3 linked regions of the Drosophila melanogaster genome follow. Changing the gene in region 3 together with the main gene of any one other region gives a genetic interaction. Each region holds a gene or a part of one and is shown on either strand. Other genes may lie near its edges. The genes, in order: aos, grim and Hsp60D.

Region 1 (4,931 bases), on a different chromosome or scaffold from region 3:
CATCTCCTGGGCGAAATTGAACGACTCGATCACCGGCAGCAGACAGGTGACCGCGAAGTTGCCGCTGCCCTGGGTCAAATCGCCGGAGAGGATTTTGCCGTGCCGCCGGCCAATTACCGCGTACATTTTACCTGCGAATGATAGAAAAAAGAGATACGTTCTTTGATCAGCTGTTGGTCGTTAGCTAGAAATCGAATTGGAAAAGGTTAAATGGAACAGGGAAAAGGGAAACCACCTCCAACTAACAATGGCCGCCTTTCAGTTGGAGTTGTCGGTTCTGCTTAATGCTCCTATATCGCCAGCTCTTTCTTGTGTTCTTGTATTGTTGTTGTTTTGGCTATTGTTGTTGTTTCTGGCGCGTCTCAAGGTAACTCGTAAACAAATGAAATCTTATCGGGTTTGGCCCATAAAATTGGCGGGCTTTCTGCCGAACCTCGCGCGTTTTTCGCTTGAACTTCCAAGCTGAAGATGGAGATGAAGATCGTTTCCAGGTCTCTCTCGTACTCTCCATATACACTATCTTGGGGCATTCATATTTTTTTTAGAAGAATATTGAAAGGAATAATCACAAAGGAACAACCCAAACAAAAAAAAAAAGACTAACGAAACAGACTTTTTTGAAAACCTCACAAATTGACAATCAAGTTATCAAAGGCACGCCAAAAATACGAAACTTTTTTTTTAACATTGTTACATTACTTTTACATTATAAATGTATTGTAGTATAAAAATTGGTGTTAAATAAACATTACATTTTCTTGCAACTCTCAAGCATGTATTACTATAAAAGTTTATTGATAGACCCAAATCCATTTAAACTTTATGATCTGTAATTACCAAGGTAATTAGCGGTTTATTAGCCGATTTTATAAGCCAGTTCGCCACTAAAGCTTTGTTTCGAAGGGCATTTAAAGCATCGACTTTAAGCTCGATCTTCCTTTTGTGTTAAACTCTTTTCTGGATTCTTCTCCAGTTGTTCTTTTTTTGGCATGCGCTACAAGAATAAGGCCCAAACATGAAACCATGGCAAAAGGAGAAGGTTGAACGATGAAGGCCAGGAGGAGGCGGCGGCCCAAGTCCAGGTCGTTGTGGCTAAGGCAGGAATTAGTTTCCGGTGCCGTAGTAAAAATGACAAAAACAACACGGCGGCAGCAAAAACGGCCGAAAGGATGCAACGGAAGCGGCAAGAGCCGCTTGGCTGCGAAGTCCCCTTTTAATTTTTTGTTATTTTGTTGTATTTTATTTCGTTGTTGCTTTTGCTTTTGCTTTAAGCCAAGCACGCGAGCCAGAGACACCTTGCCATCCGCTCGCTCTCACCAATACAGCCGCGCTTAGTCACAGATGCATCTCACAGATGCGCGCACGCACACAGGCGCAGCAGCAATGGATGCTGCAACCACCAGCGGAAAAAGGCAGCAACAACATGTTCATTCATTCATATCCAGCCCACTCTCTTTCGTGTTCTCTCACGTTCGGACGCTGCCGCTCATGCACTGGGAACAAATTCGGTTGACCAAATATGTGAAAAGACAACAGTGGGTTCAAAAGACTGCTTTGAATACTTTTTGCGTAACACACTTTCTCTTTTAAAGATTTCGTACTACTTATGATTTTACCTCTTTGTTATAAGATAATAACATTTTTTGTTAGATGTACATATTTATTTGATTGAAAATTTATACTACTTTATAAAAATTCTTATACAACCAATATAATAAATAATTACATTTTATTGAATTGAGAATAATAAACAAATTTTTTTTTTTTTTATATTACTATTAATTTCTCTGTTTAATCGAGCATTTTCTCTCAGTGCACAGACACGCACATACCGGCAGCGACGCGAGCAGCGCACTTCTCTGCCGGCTTCAACGGCTCTCGTTCGCCGCGCGCTGTTCGTTTTTGGATTTTCTGTTTGATCAGTTCGAAAAGTGAGTTGGTCGAGCGAACAACGATAGAGCGAGGGCAGAGTAACCGAGGCGATACGATACGATATAATATAGCATCGGTACCATTGGGTATACGTTCCAGGAGCGAAAGAAAAGACGAAAACGAGACGAGACGAAAGGCCACCGGAGACAGCGACGTCGCGGGTGTTAAGTTACTAAATAGCAAACAGAAACTACCGACCACCGACCGATTGCAGTGAATGAAATATCCAATAATTTCGAGTGACATTCGCCACAAATCAATCGATCGTTCGATTTGAAACCTGATTTGTAGAGTTCGTTTCTGCCAGTGTGTGTGTGCATGTAAGCCATGGGTTCTGGGCGAGCGAGTGAGATAGAGCGAGAACACTGATTCGACTCGATTCGATTCGATTCGATTGGATTTGATTCGAATTCAATTACAAAATTCATTGAGTGTCAATTACAAACCGCAAGAAAACAACACGCACGGAGATTCGGAAAGATCCCAAGATCCAAATACAAGATCCAGATCCAGATTCTCGAACATCCAGAGATCCCAGCCAGAGTCAGAGTCATAAATCATGCCTACGACATTGATGTTGCTGCCGTGCATGCTGCTGTTGCTGCTGACCGCCGCTGCCGTTGCTGTCGGCGGCACGCGACTGCCGCTCGAGGTGTTCGAGATTACGCCGACCACATCCACAGCGGACAAGCACAAGAGTCTGCAGTACACCGTCGTCTACGATGCCAAAGATATTTCAGGAGCAGCGGCAGCAACTGGAGTGGCGAGCAGTACAGTGAAGCCCGCCACCGAGCAACTGACCGTTGTGAGCATTTCCTCCACAGCGGCTGCGGAGAAGGATCTCGCCGAGTCGCGGCGACATGCGCGACAAATGTTGCAGAAACAACAGCAGCATCGCAGCATCATCGGCGGCAAGCACGGCGATCGGGATGTGCGCATCCTCTACCAAGTGGGGGTGAGTAGCTAGCAAGTACTAAATTCATTTGATTAGCCTGGCTAATTGCATGTTTGCATTGATCGGTGGGGCTAAGTAAAAAAGCATAAAATAAAACACAAGGTACCAATGAAACCAACAACTGGCAATGGCAGGTTGCATAATGCAGGCAACAACGTCAGCAGACACCTGTTCAACTGGTTGCCATTTGTAAAATGCCCACGCCAGCGGTATCAACGGCAACAGCAGCATCTACACAGAAAACAATATTGATCGATTAGATAATTTCAGTCAAATTAGGGAAAAGCAGATCGGCTAACGGTCTGCCATACCAATTTATCAAAGAACTCTCAAAACAGTCTCTTATCTTCGGATTTGTAGCTTAATCAATTAATCAGTCAAATGTATTATAGCATAGATATATCTTAAATGTCATCGCGCAAGTCAACCTACGATTTCTTTCTCTGCACAGCAGGTTTTGCAATGCAACTTTTTTGGGCTGGGTCCGAGTTTTAGTTCGTTATTTTTACATATTTTTTTGCTTTTGTTCAGAAAACTCTGTCTATATTTAGCAGCCGCCCTATGGCCATTACACTTGACACCCACAAAACCACTATTCATATATCACCATACGCATATGGCACATTTAATTGCAGCGGCCACACTCGCTCTAGATGAAAAATGAAAGTTGTTTGCAGTCGGAGAGCTCAACACATCAACTGATCTGTCGCATTTGATCAATTAAAGTCGCAATTGCCATACAACCGAACGATATGAGCGATACCAAAACCAATTAGCCGGGCGGGTCAAGAGTTCAATGCTGGCTATTCATGACTAAGCCGACGGTACACCAAAAAGTTCTTGCCGTTATCTTTCCCCTTAAATCCGCTACAATGCGAATTCAGATCATAGGTCACCGCGGTTCCATTGTTCTCACTCCCGATCTGGCCATAAATCAAGTGTCCATTGAGAAAGAGAGGGGCTTGGATCGGTCATATATCATGTATCGTATATCTATTATGTCAAATGTCATACGACAGAACACGCCCTGAAAATCGAATTCTTGCTTGATGTTTCTACGAGGCCGAGGCGTGAAGTATCAACCCAATAGTAATCAAAAGCAAAATATTGACAGCATAACCAAGTCAGCCAAAGGGGCATGGCAGCAAAAAGGTTCGACTTAGAAATACCCTTGCAAAGGATCACTAACTAAGTGTGTAATAATCGGCGAGAAATTACCAATGCAAGGAAATTCTTAACTTTCTATCAGTACATGTGTAACAAGTAATAATCATCAAAACATAATCATGGTATAATTTGTAACTTTATAAAAAGCCCAAGCGTATCCTTAAACTTCTCACCCAAGTAGATAATACCATTTTAACCTTCTTTCAAGCCAAGGCGTTATGGTTCGACTTGGTTCATAATTTTTGTAATCCGAATGCATGCAATAAATTTTGGAACGCATATACATATAAAAAAAAGCATAACAAAGCAGCATCACAACACAACACCTTAAATAGACAAACAAAAAATTGAGCAGAGAATTCCTGTTGTTTGGAAACTTGCAATAAAAACGCCTTATTGGAGAATAGAACACAACGGAATAGATCCACAAAAGGCTGTGAATGAGCAGCCGGAAAGAGAGGCAAATAGCCAAATGGAAAGAGACAGGCGCAGGGGAACGAAAGAGACGGAGGGAGGAAGGAGGCTGGGAGCGAGGGAGATGAAAGTTTATAGAAGAAAACAAAAAGTTCCCATGCTTAAAAGCGCTAAACATTCAGTTCCGGTATTTAAAAACGTTTTCAACAGCCACGACTGAGACGGGGATAGAAGGAGACGGCAACAGCGGGGGGAGGGAGGGAGACGGGTAGACGGGGAAGACCTGAATGAAAGAAAATTCATGAATGAAATACGACCACGACGACTACGAGAAGTCGATGATGATGGTCATAATGACGGTGGTACGGTTTGGTATGGTGTGGTATAATGGGTGAAATGGAGGGGAGTCAGGGGCGCGATGCGGTGGTGCATGTGTGAGTGGCTACACTGAGCAAAGTTCTTT
Region 2 (4,090 bases), on a different chromosome or scaffold from region 3:
TTGTTTTGTTTTTAAAAATATTTCACCTCATTTTCCGCACACCATTTATAAGCAAAGTTACCCCCAACCCATAACTTTTATGGTAAGTAATACAGACCCTCCAAGTTCGGCAAATCGATACCCAGCGACCTTGAGCTTGACATTTATATATATGCCAGAATATAACGACCACGTGCTGTCAACTGTGTCAGGAAAAGCTCACCCACACTTTCTTTGGAGGAGCTGTGCTCCCTAAACGAATTTCATTGTCAAGGTCGCACGCACAAAAATGAAGAGGAAAAGCTGAATGTGGGTGGAAATGCCGGCCGGCACGACCTTGAAGCCAGTTGGGTGAGAAATAAAAAGCTTTTGCCGGTAGGAGACTTGTGGAACATCACCCACAAGTGGCGGACTTGGCCTTGGCGATGGCCTTGTTGGAGCTCCCTCAGCAAAAATGTTACATAGGGGGAGGAAATAAGCTCAATTGGCTTTATGCTTTCCGCTCCCTGGAAGTCCTTTTCTGGAATGTTAAAGTGTTAAATGACATTTATTGAACATTTGGGACAGAGGAGGAGATAATACAATATACTTGTCTAATTAAAAAAAATCGTTATTATGATTTATTCCATATGTAAGATTTTAATTCATCATGATTGTAAATAAATTATATAAAACAAATTCAATAAATTTACATTATTGATAAAATTTATTTTTTCATGAAATTATACCCAAAAATTATTCTCAATTTTTCTTATAATCAGTTTTGCATAAGTATACTTTCTTCATACCCCTCTACCACAGCCACTGCTTTCTTGACTTTGCAACTATCCGGGAACAGCTTATCATAATGGATGAGCTGCAGCTAACGGAAAATGGGGGAGCTGGGATCAAACATTTTCCAAGGTTGAAATTGTCGTCAGCATAATGTTTGAGGGAGCTGGATTCGCGTTAGCTTGAAGGTCAATCCATTTGGGTGCCCTTTGTTATGGTCAAGTTTAAGGCTGCAATAGGGGGAATCTTCAAGGACCATTACGCAAGGTTTTCGCATCAAAGATTTGCCGTGCAAGCTTTTTGAGTTGAAGGATGCTTAACTTGAAAGCGGGTTAGTGGTTCCAAGAGATTTTAGGTGAAGGAGACTCCGCTGTTTTGAAATATATTAAGTATGTAAAGAAGTATACTATAAATAACCCAAAGTGATACAATGTAAGAAAAGATCTCGTTGGTCCCTGGTATAAATTTGTTTGCCATTAATGAATATTGAAAATAATAATTATACTAATAATAGGTACAATAAGCAAGATTAAATTGCATTTAATCACCAAAAATCAGTTTCTATGCGAACCAAAATGTCATAACAAACAATTGTTGATTCATCCGTAGTGAAATCCAAGTTCGAAATTCGAAATGAGCATACGACGACCAAACTTCCCCTCAAAATTGCTAGACTCAGCTAGAGCAAGTACGCCCAAGTTAACCCCTGAAATTCGAAATGAATTCGATGCCGCGCTTCGAACAACGAAATCCCAAAGAGCTTACGTTTTATTTGACGTAGCACTCTTACGTGAAATGATTTTCCCCAATTCCGCTCTCATTTCCCGAGTCTCTCACCGCTTCTCAGCCACTTTCCCACCCCCTTTCTAGTTCCGAAGTAAAGGTAACAAAGGCAGCCGTGTCTTTGGGGTGGTAAACTGGCGGTGGTGGTGGCACATTGTCAGTGGTGTGGGTTCCTGTGGTTGGTGGTTCAATTGGTTGGTTGTTGGCATAAACAAAGCACACACACAATACACACAAACTCCCGGGGGGTGGTGGAAATTGGGAGGGTGACATTCACTGCGAGAGAGGAACTCGCTTCCTATAGGAAAGTACAAAGAGAGCTATTTTATAAATGTGACTGCAGCAAGGATATTTACAGTCAGTCCACTCTGAAACCTCGACGAGAGAACATTGAATAACAAGCGGAAGCGAAAAGCGCAGTTGAAAGTTCGTCAAAAAGCGACAAGTTTCCTCGTTCGTTTTCCCGCCAAATGAGTCAGAAAAATTTTCCAAGTGCTCGATACGAAACATAAAGACTTACAAGACTTAAAGTGCAAGCAGTGAATGGAATATATTATTCCTCAGCGATATTGAAATCAAACATTAAAAATATATGCTACACTAAAGTTATATATTTTTTTAAAGATTCATACGTTTTGTAAAATCACATTTTGTATTAAATTAAATACCGCCATGGCCATCGCCTATTTCATACCCGACCAGGCCCAATTGTTGGCCAGAAGCTATCAGCAAAACGGCCAGCAGACAGCAGCGAGTCCAAGGACAACTGCAACAGCTGCTGCACCATCGCAGCAGCAGCAACAATCGCAACAACAGCAGCAGCAGCAGCGACATCATCATCAGCAACAGCGCCCACAATTCCGTGCCAATATTTCCGTGCCGCTGGGAAGTCAACAGGGATCGATGACCATGTCGGAGTTTGGATGCTGGGATCTTTTGGCCCAGATCTTCTGCTACGCTCTGCGAATCTACAGCTACAGTTCGAGCCAGCGTCAACCGACGGTCATTCAGATATCCTTCGAGATCAGCAGCGGCGGTCAGAACAACGATGAGGACGACGTGACTGATGCCACCTCCAAGGAGAACTAAATTTGGTTTCCATATTTCATCCTGGTGGAGAGAAAATCTTTGGGATTTTCTGGGAAAGGCAGGCTCAATCAAAGCGCATTGTGATTTCTTTTTTGGGTATGGACACATGAGGAGGAACGAGTTTTGTAAAACATGGGATATTTCCACAACAAAATAAGAAAACTATTTTTAAACTATTTTTGAGAGAGAGAAAATTCAAAATTTGTCATCGACTTGCTTAAAGTGATTTTGGTTGTTTGTTACTTTTTTGGATGTCAAATTTTCCGATATAAGTTTTGAAAAAATGTTTAATTTTGCAAGCAAAGGTTTCCCGGTTGGTTCAAATACATAAACATACTTAACAACATTTAGAGAGCATAAAGAGAAATGTGTAAAATTGTCATAAACCTTATTAGTGTCTATACGTATGAGCAAAACCACAAGTATCGTACTCAACTAACAAATAATTGTCAAATTTTCTACTTCAACTACTTCAACTACATTTCAACTACTTACAAATATAAATCGTAAACTAATATTACAGAACTACAATACAGAACCAACAACAAAACAAAGATGCAACCGCAGCAACAAGAATAACAAAAGACAACAACTCAATTGTACAAAATAGATTTTAAGCAAACAGCAAATTTTATATGTTTACAACAAAGAGAGAAAATACAAAACGTCTACAAAAAATAGAATACAAGAACCGCCGAACAGAATACATTTTAACAAAAATTAAACAAAACAACAACAAACATTTAAGCAATTTTGATACGAATAATCAAGAATAACAAAATTTGAAATGTATCTTATCATTATTATTGATTTTAGCAAAATTCAAAACATATTATTTTAATTTTGGCATTGCAAATTAAACAAGAAATATTGAAATTAATCACATGTAAAGATAGCATTTGTAAGAAATTAAAATTTTTATAAGACAAACAAGCAAAAAATAAATACAATTTTATAAAAAATTAAAAAATACTTTGAACGATTATTATTGTCCCTTTTCAGAAAAACATAAAGAATTTTACCAACACCATTGCCGAGATATATATATTTAATTACCTTTTATTTCGGAGGTGTAGAACTCTATTAAAATGTTTTTGAAAAATTATTCGAAGCGTTTTTAAAATATTTTAAAAATAAACTAAAACGTTTTTAAAATAAATTCAAAAGAATATTTATTTGTTTCACCAAAGTTTTTATAAAAAAATACGTCAAAATAATATGAAATTTTGTTTAATACACTCTTTTAATAACCGCTTATGAATTAAGCCTTTGTATTCCATTTTGGGCAATGAAATGGCAAAGGATAACCGTCCTGCCAGGAAAAGGCGGAGTAAGCAAACATTTAGCGATCGCTATCGTCAAAACCAATATGTCACCTTAAAAGGGAAAACACATTTTTGGTTAAGGGCAGACAGAGAATTTTCCCGTCGTGTCATGCCAGGCACACTCCACCCAAAAGGGTTAAAAA
Region 3 (3,987 bases):
TTATTAAGACATGATCCATTATCACATGTAAATTCCGAAAAATTGCTAAATATAAAAACTTCTACTTGGTTAAAATCAGATGCAAATGAAATACTTATTATTTCCCATATTCCTAGAGACATTATAAAAACTGCACTTTTTAACATCATACCATATCCAGACAAAGATAATAATATACTTATAGAAAATGTAAATGATAAATATTATATTCAAGATAATCAAGTTTACAAACAAAACTCAAGAAAGCCAATAATAAACAAATGTATTACAGGAATATTAAATCAAATACCAACAGAATGCAGATATTCAAAAACACATAACAATATTGGAATAACTTATGTAGAACCAAACATAATTTTAACTTGGAAATTATCAAAAATTGTATTAAATCAAAACTGTATAATTAATAGAGAAATTATAATAGAAGGAGACAATATAATAAAAGCTTTTAATTGTTCTGTTCAAATAGAAAACATATTAATTACAAGCACAACACTAGACTACACACAAACGGTCTATATCAATAACAATGTAACAAAATTAGAACCATTATCATATCTAAATGCTAAAGAAATAATTAAAGAACACACTAATACATACAACACATTACAAATTATTACATTAACTATACTTGCTATTATAATACTTACACTTATACTATATTTTATTTATAAATATAAAGGCATTCCCAAAAAACTAATTGTTAAATATAAAAAAGAGAATCCACAACAAATAGAACAACAAAATAACACAACAACAGAAAATATAAATACAGTATTTGATACTAATCCTGTATTGTATCCTAGAATATCCGCCTGAGGACAGGCTAAATTTAAAGGATGGGGAAGTAGCATATGTGCCATAGTATAAGACCACATATACTTACACACACACACACATACATAACCACATAGGAACAGCCATACACAAAATCATAGAATGCCTTAGGATATAAGTCATAAAATCATGTATCCAATAAGAACCCAAATTCTGGTGACAATAACAAATCCAGCCTACCCTAATGTAAACATTAACATCCGCTGCCGAATCAGTTATTCCCACCAAAGGGTCAAAACCGCTTACGCAGCTCAAGTTCTCGGCTGATCAGTACCCATGAGTGATCCACTCAAGAAGGCACCCAATCCAACAGACATAAACATCCGCAGCCGCATTCGCGACTCCCACCAGAGGGTCAAAACTGCTAACACAGCTTTAAGGGTCAAAACTTTCCACGTAGCTCAAACTCGGCTGATCTATATCCATGCGCAATCCACTCAAGAGAGCGCCTAATTAACGTAAACATAAATGAGAGCCTATGTACGCTCAATATGAAGAAGTAAATAAGCTCAGCCAAGGGTTTGCTAAGCGTTCGCTTTGCAAATTAGATTTAGATTTTATTCATACTTCAATTGTGTAAGACGTGAATTTGTCTCCGACATTCGCTTAAGTTTTTGATCAATAAAAATACTTTTTTTTTATAAACCAACAAACCGCGAAGTTGTAATTATATATATTTCAGTGAGTTACCCTTCAAAAATGACCGAACTTTTCCAGATTAACATTTTCTACACTTTACCGATATCAAGGTAATTAAATTTCAGTTAAAGCTTTTGATAAACGTAAATTAAAAGTTCTCTCAAAATTGCGACAAGCAACGTGAGTATCAAGGAATCAGGATGCTGAGCAGATTGGGCCGGAGTGGTCGGGCCGGTGTGCGCACCTTTGCCAATGACATTCGCTTTGGAGCCGAGGCGCGCTGCCTGCTTATGCAGGGCGTGAACGTCCTGGCCAACGCGGTGGCCACCACTCTGGGCCCGAAGGGCAGGAACGTGCTCATCGAACAGCTGCTGATCTCGCCCCGGATCACCAAGGATGGCATCACGGTGGCGAATAACGTGCAGCTGGGCAATCGTCGGCAGGATATGGGAGTTCAATTGCTGCGCCAGGCCACCAATAATACCAATAATAAGGTAGGCGATGGCACCACCACGGCCACTATTCTGGCCCGTGGAATAGCCTGCCAGGGTATGCATGTGTTGCGCCAGAGCAAGGTGAACGTCCAACTCCTGCGGGAGGGCATTCTCGAGGGATCGCGCGCTGTGTGCGATGCTCTAGGTGAGATGTCCCAGTCGGTGGATACTATTGGCCAAGTGGAAGCAGTGGCCAAGGTGGCACTGAATGGAGACGAACGGCTGGCGGAGCTGATTGGTGACATCATTTTGGAGCTGGGCGATAGCGGCGTCATCCTGCTGAAGGAATCCCACAGTCCCTTCGATGAGGCTAAGATCCAGGAGGGTATAACCATCGCTTCGGGCTACTATTCGCCATTCTTTGCCAAGCAATCTCATACCCTGGAATTGGAGAATTGCTTGCTGCTGCTCACTTTGGCTAAGATTGATCAAGTGGAACAGATACTTCCCGCTCTCGAGCTGGCCAGACTAAAAGAACGACCCCTTCTGATCATTGCCAAAAATTTTGGTAGCGATTTGCTTAAGATCTTAGTGCTAAATAATCTGCAAGGTCGAGTTCAGGTCTGTGCTGTGAAGGCTCCAAGCTTTGGGGACGAGCAGTGCGAGGAAATGGAGGATATAGCTTTTGCCACCGGTGGCCATCTTCTGGAGGATGCCTCCAGTCTGGCGGATCTCAGCGAGGAGGATCTGGGTGAGGTGATGGAGGCGGTGGTGGACGCTAAGGAAACGCACCTATTGCAACCGATCAATGTGAACGAGGAGCAGGTGCAGTGCCGCATCCAGGACATTCGTGAGCTGATCGATGAGGCTTTCACCGATGTGGAACTGGATCGCCTGAAAACACGACTTGGTCGCTTGCAGGGCCACCTGGCCACCATTTTCGTGGGCGGTACCAGTGAGCTGGAGGTGAGCGAGCGAAAGGATCGCTTCAACGATGCCCTTCACGCCGTTCGAGTGGCCATAAGTGATGGTGTGGTTCCCGGAGGAGGAACCGCCTATCTACGATGTATTCCAGTTCTGGACGAGTTGCCGCCAACCGATATAATGGAGCTCCAGGTTGGCAGGGAGATTGTAAAGGACGCTTTACGACTACCATGCTATACAATTGCCCGGAATGCTGGAGTGGACCCCAACGAGGTACTACGTCGGGTTTTAAAGGGCAGTGGCAACTACGGATATGATGCCGCCGCTGGGGAATTCGGCGATCTTGTGGTCCGGGGAATTGTGGATCCCACAAAAGTGTTGCAATCAGCCATGACGTCTGCCGCAGGAATTGCCTCCCTTTTGGCCACCACCGAGGTGCTCATCACTAAACAACCCACCAAACCGAAGATTCCGAAAAATCAGGTCACCAAGGATCTTGCTAAACTTGTTGGAATGTAGGTTAGGTAGTGCGTTTTGAAGAAACACAACATTTTATGTAATGATAAAAAGACCTAAATTCTATGTTGAAAAACTAAATGGTTAATACAAAGAAAAAATAAAATAATTCTGAGTTTCTTGTTTGCCATTGTCAAAATAATTTTAAACATTTCCATTTCCCATTTTATTATTTTTGCAGTGTATTTGTCGATTCCCTTCCATTTATGACTTGTTTCCTTGTCGAATCCCTAATTAGAGCATATATGAGCACGCATGCCACATTCAATAGACCCCTCACATTCCGAAGTCTCCGGATCCGGCTCCTTTGCCACCCACAAGCACTCAGTCATAACTTGACGTCCTCCGACTCCTATTCCTCCACTTCGACACGCGCCCAACTTGACCTTAACCATTTGCTGCGCTTTGTTTGGGTGCCAATGGACAACAAACAAAATATGAAAGCATTTGTGGCTTGAGTTTGGGTTTTTGGCGGGTGGGGGGAGGAAATGTCAGCAGGGGCATTCCTATTTATCATGATATATGGGCGTTACATAGGAGGTTCTATATGTCAATGGGGCGAGCATATACAGCGTTGTCATTAACGGTGATTAGGGACACTTAAGTGCGTCAGTTTGCATCACGTATACGCCACAAT

Evidence for each region.
Region 1: of Hsp60D (region 3) and aos, changing one suppresses a phenotype caused by changing the other (phenotypic suppression), as found in Drosophila melanogaster (one study listed by BioGRID).
Region 2: of Hsp60D (region 3) and grim, changing one suppresses a phenotype caused by changing the other (phenotypic suppression), as found in Drosophila melanogaster (one study listed by BioGRID).

What each region holds. Positions count from the first base shown.
Region 1 is NT_037436.4:16,480,637-16,485,567, reverse strand, and holds the start of aos (argos), read left to right. Parts: upstream 1-1,917; 5' UTR 1,918-2,491; coding exon 2,492-2,887; intron 2,888-4,931. Other genes in the region: CG33158 (uncharacterized protein), read right to left, coding at 1-131. UniProt on the Drosophila melanogaster protein: Regulates cell determination; development of ommatidia and optic lobe. Is a signaling molecule involved in the process of axon pathfinding in the eye. Part of the Ras pathway regulating programmed cell death in pupal eyes; activated by lozenge (lz).
Region 2 is NT_037436.4:18,302,215-18,306,304, reverse strand, and holds grim (grim), read left to right. Parts: upstream 1-1,887; 5' UTR 1,888-2,205; coding exon 2,206-2,622; 3' UTR 2,623-3,586; downstream 3,587-4,090. UniProt on the Drosophila melanogaster protein: Activator of apoptosis, independent of rpr and hid, that acts on the effector Dredd.
Region 3 is NT_033779.5:13,447,036-13,451,022, reverse strand, and holds Hsp60D (heat shock protein 60D), read left to right. Parts: upstream 1-1,525; 5' UTR 1,526-1,676; coding exon 1,677-3,353; 3' UTR 3,354-3,485; downstream 3,486-3,987.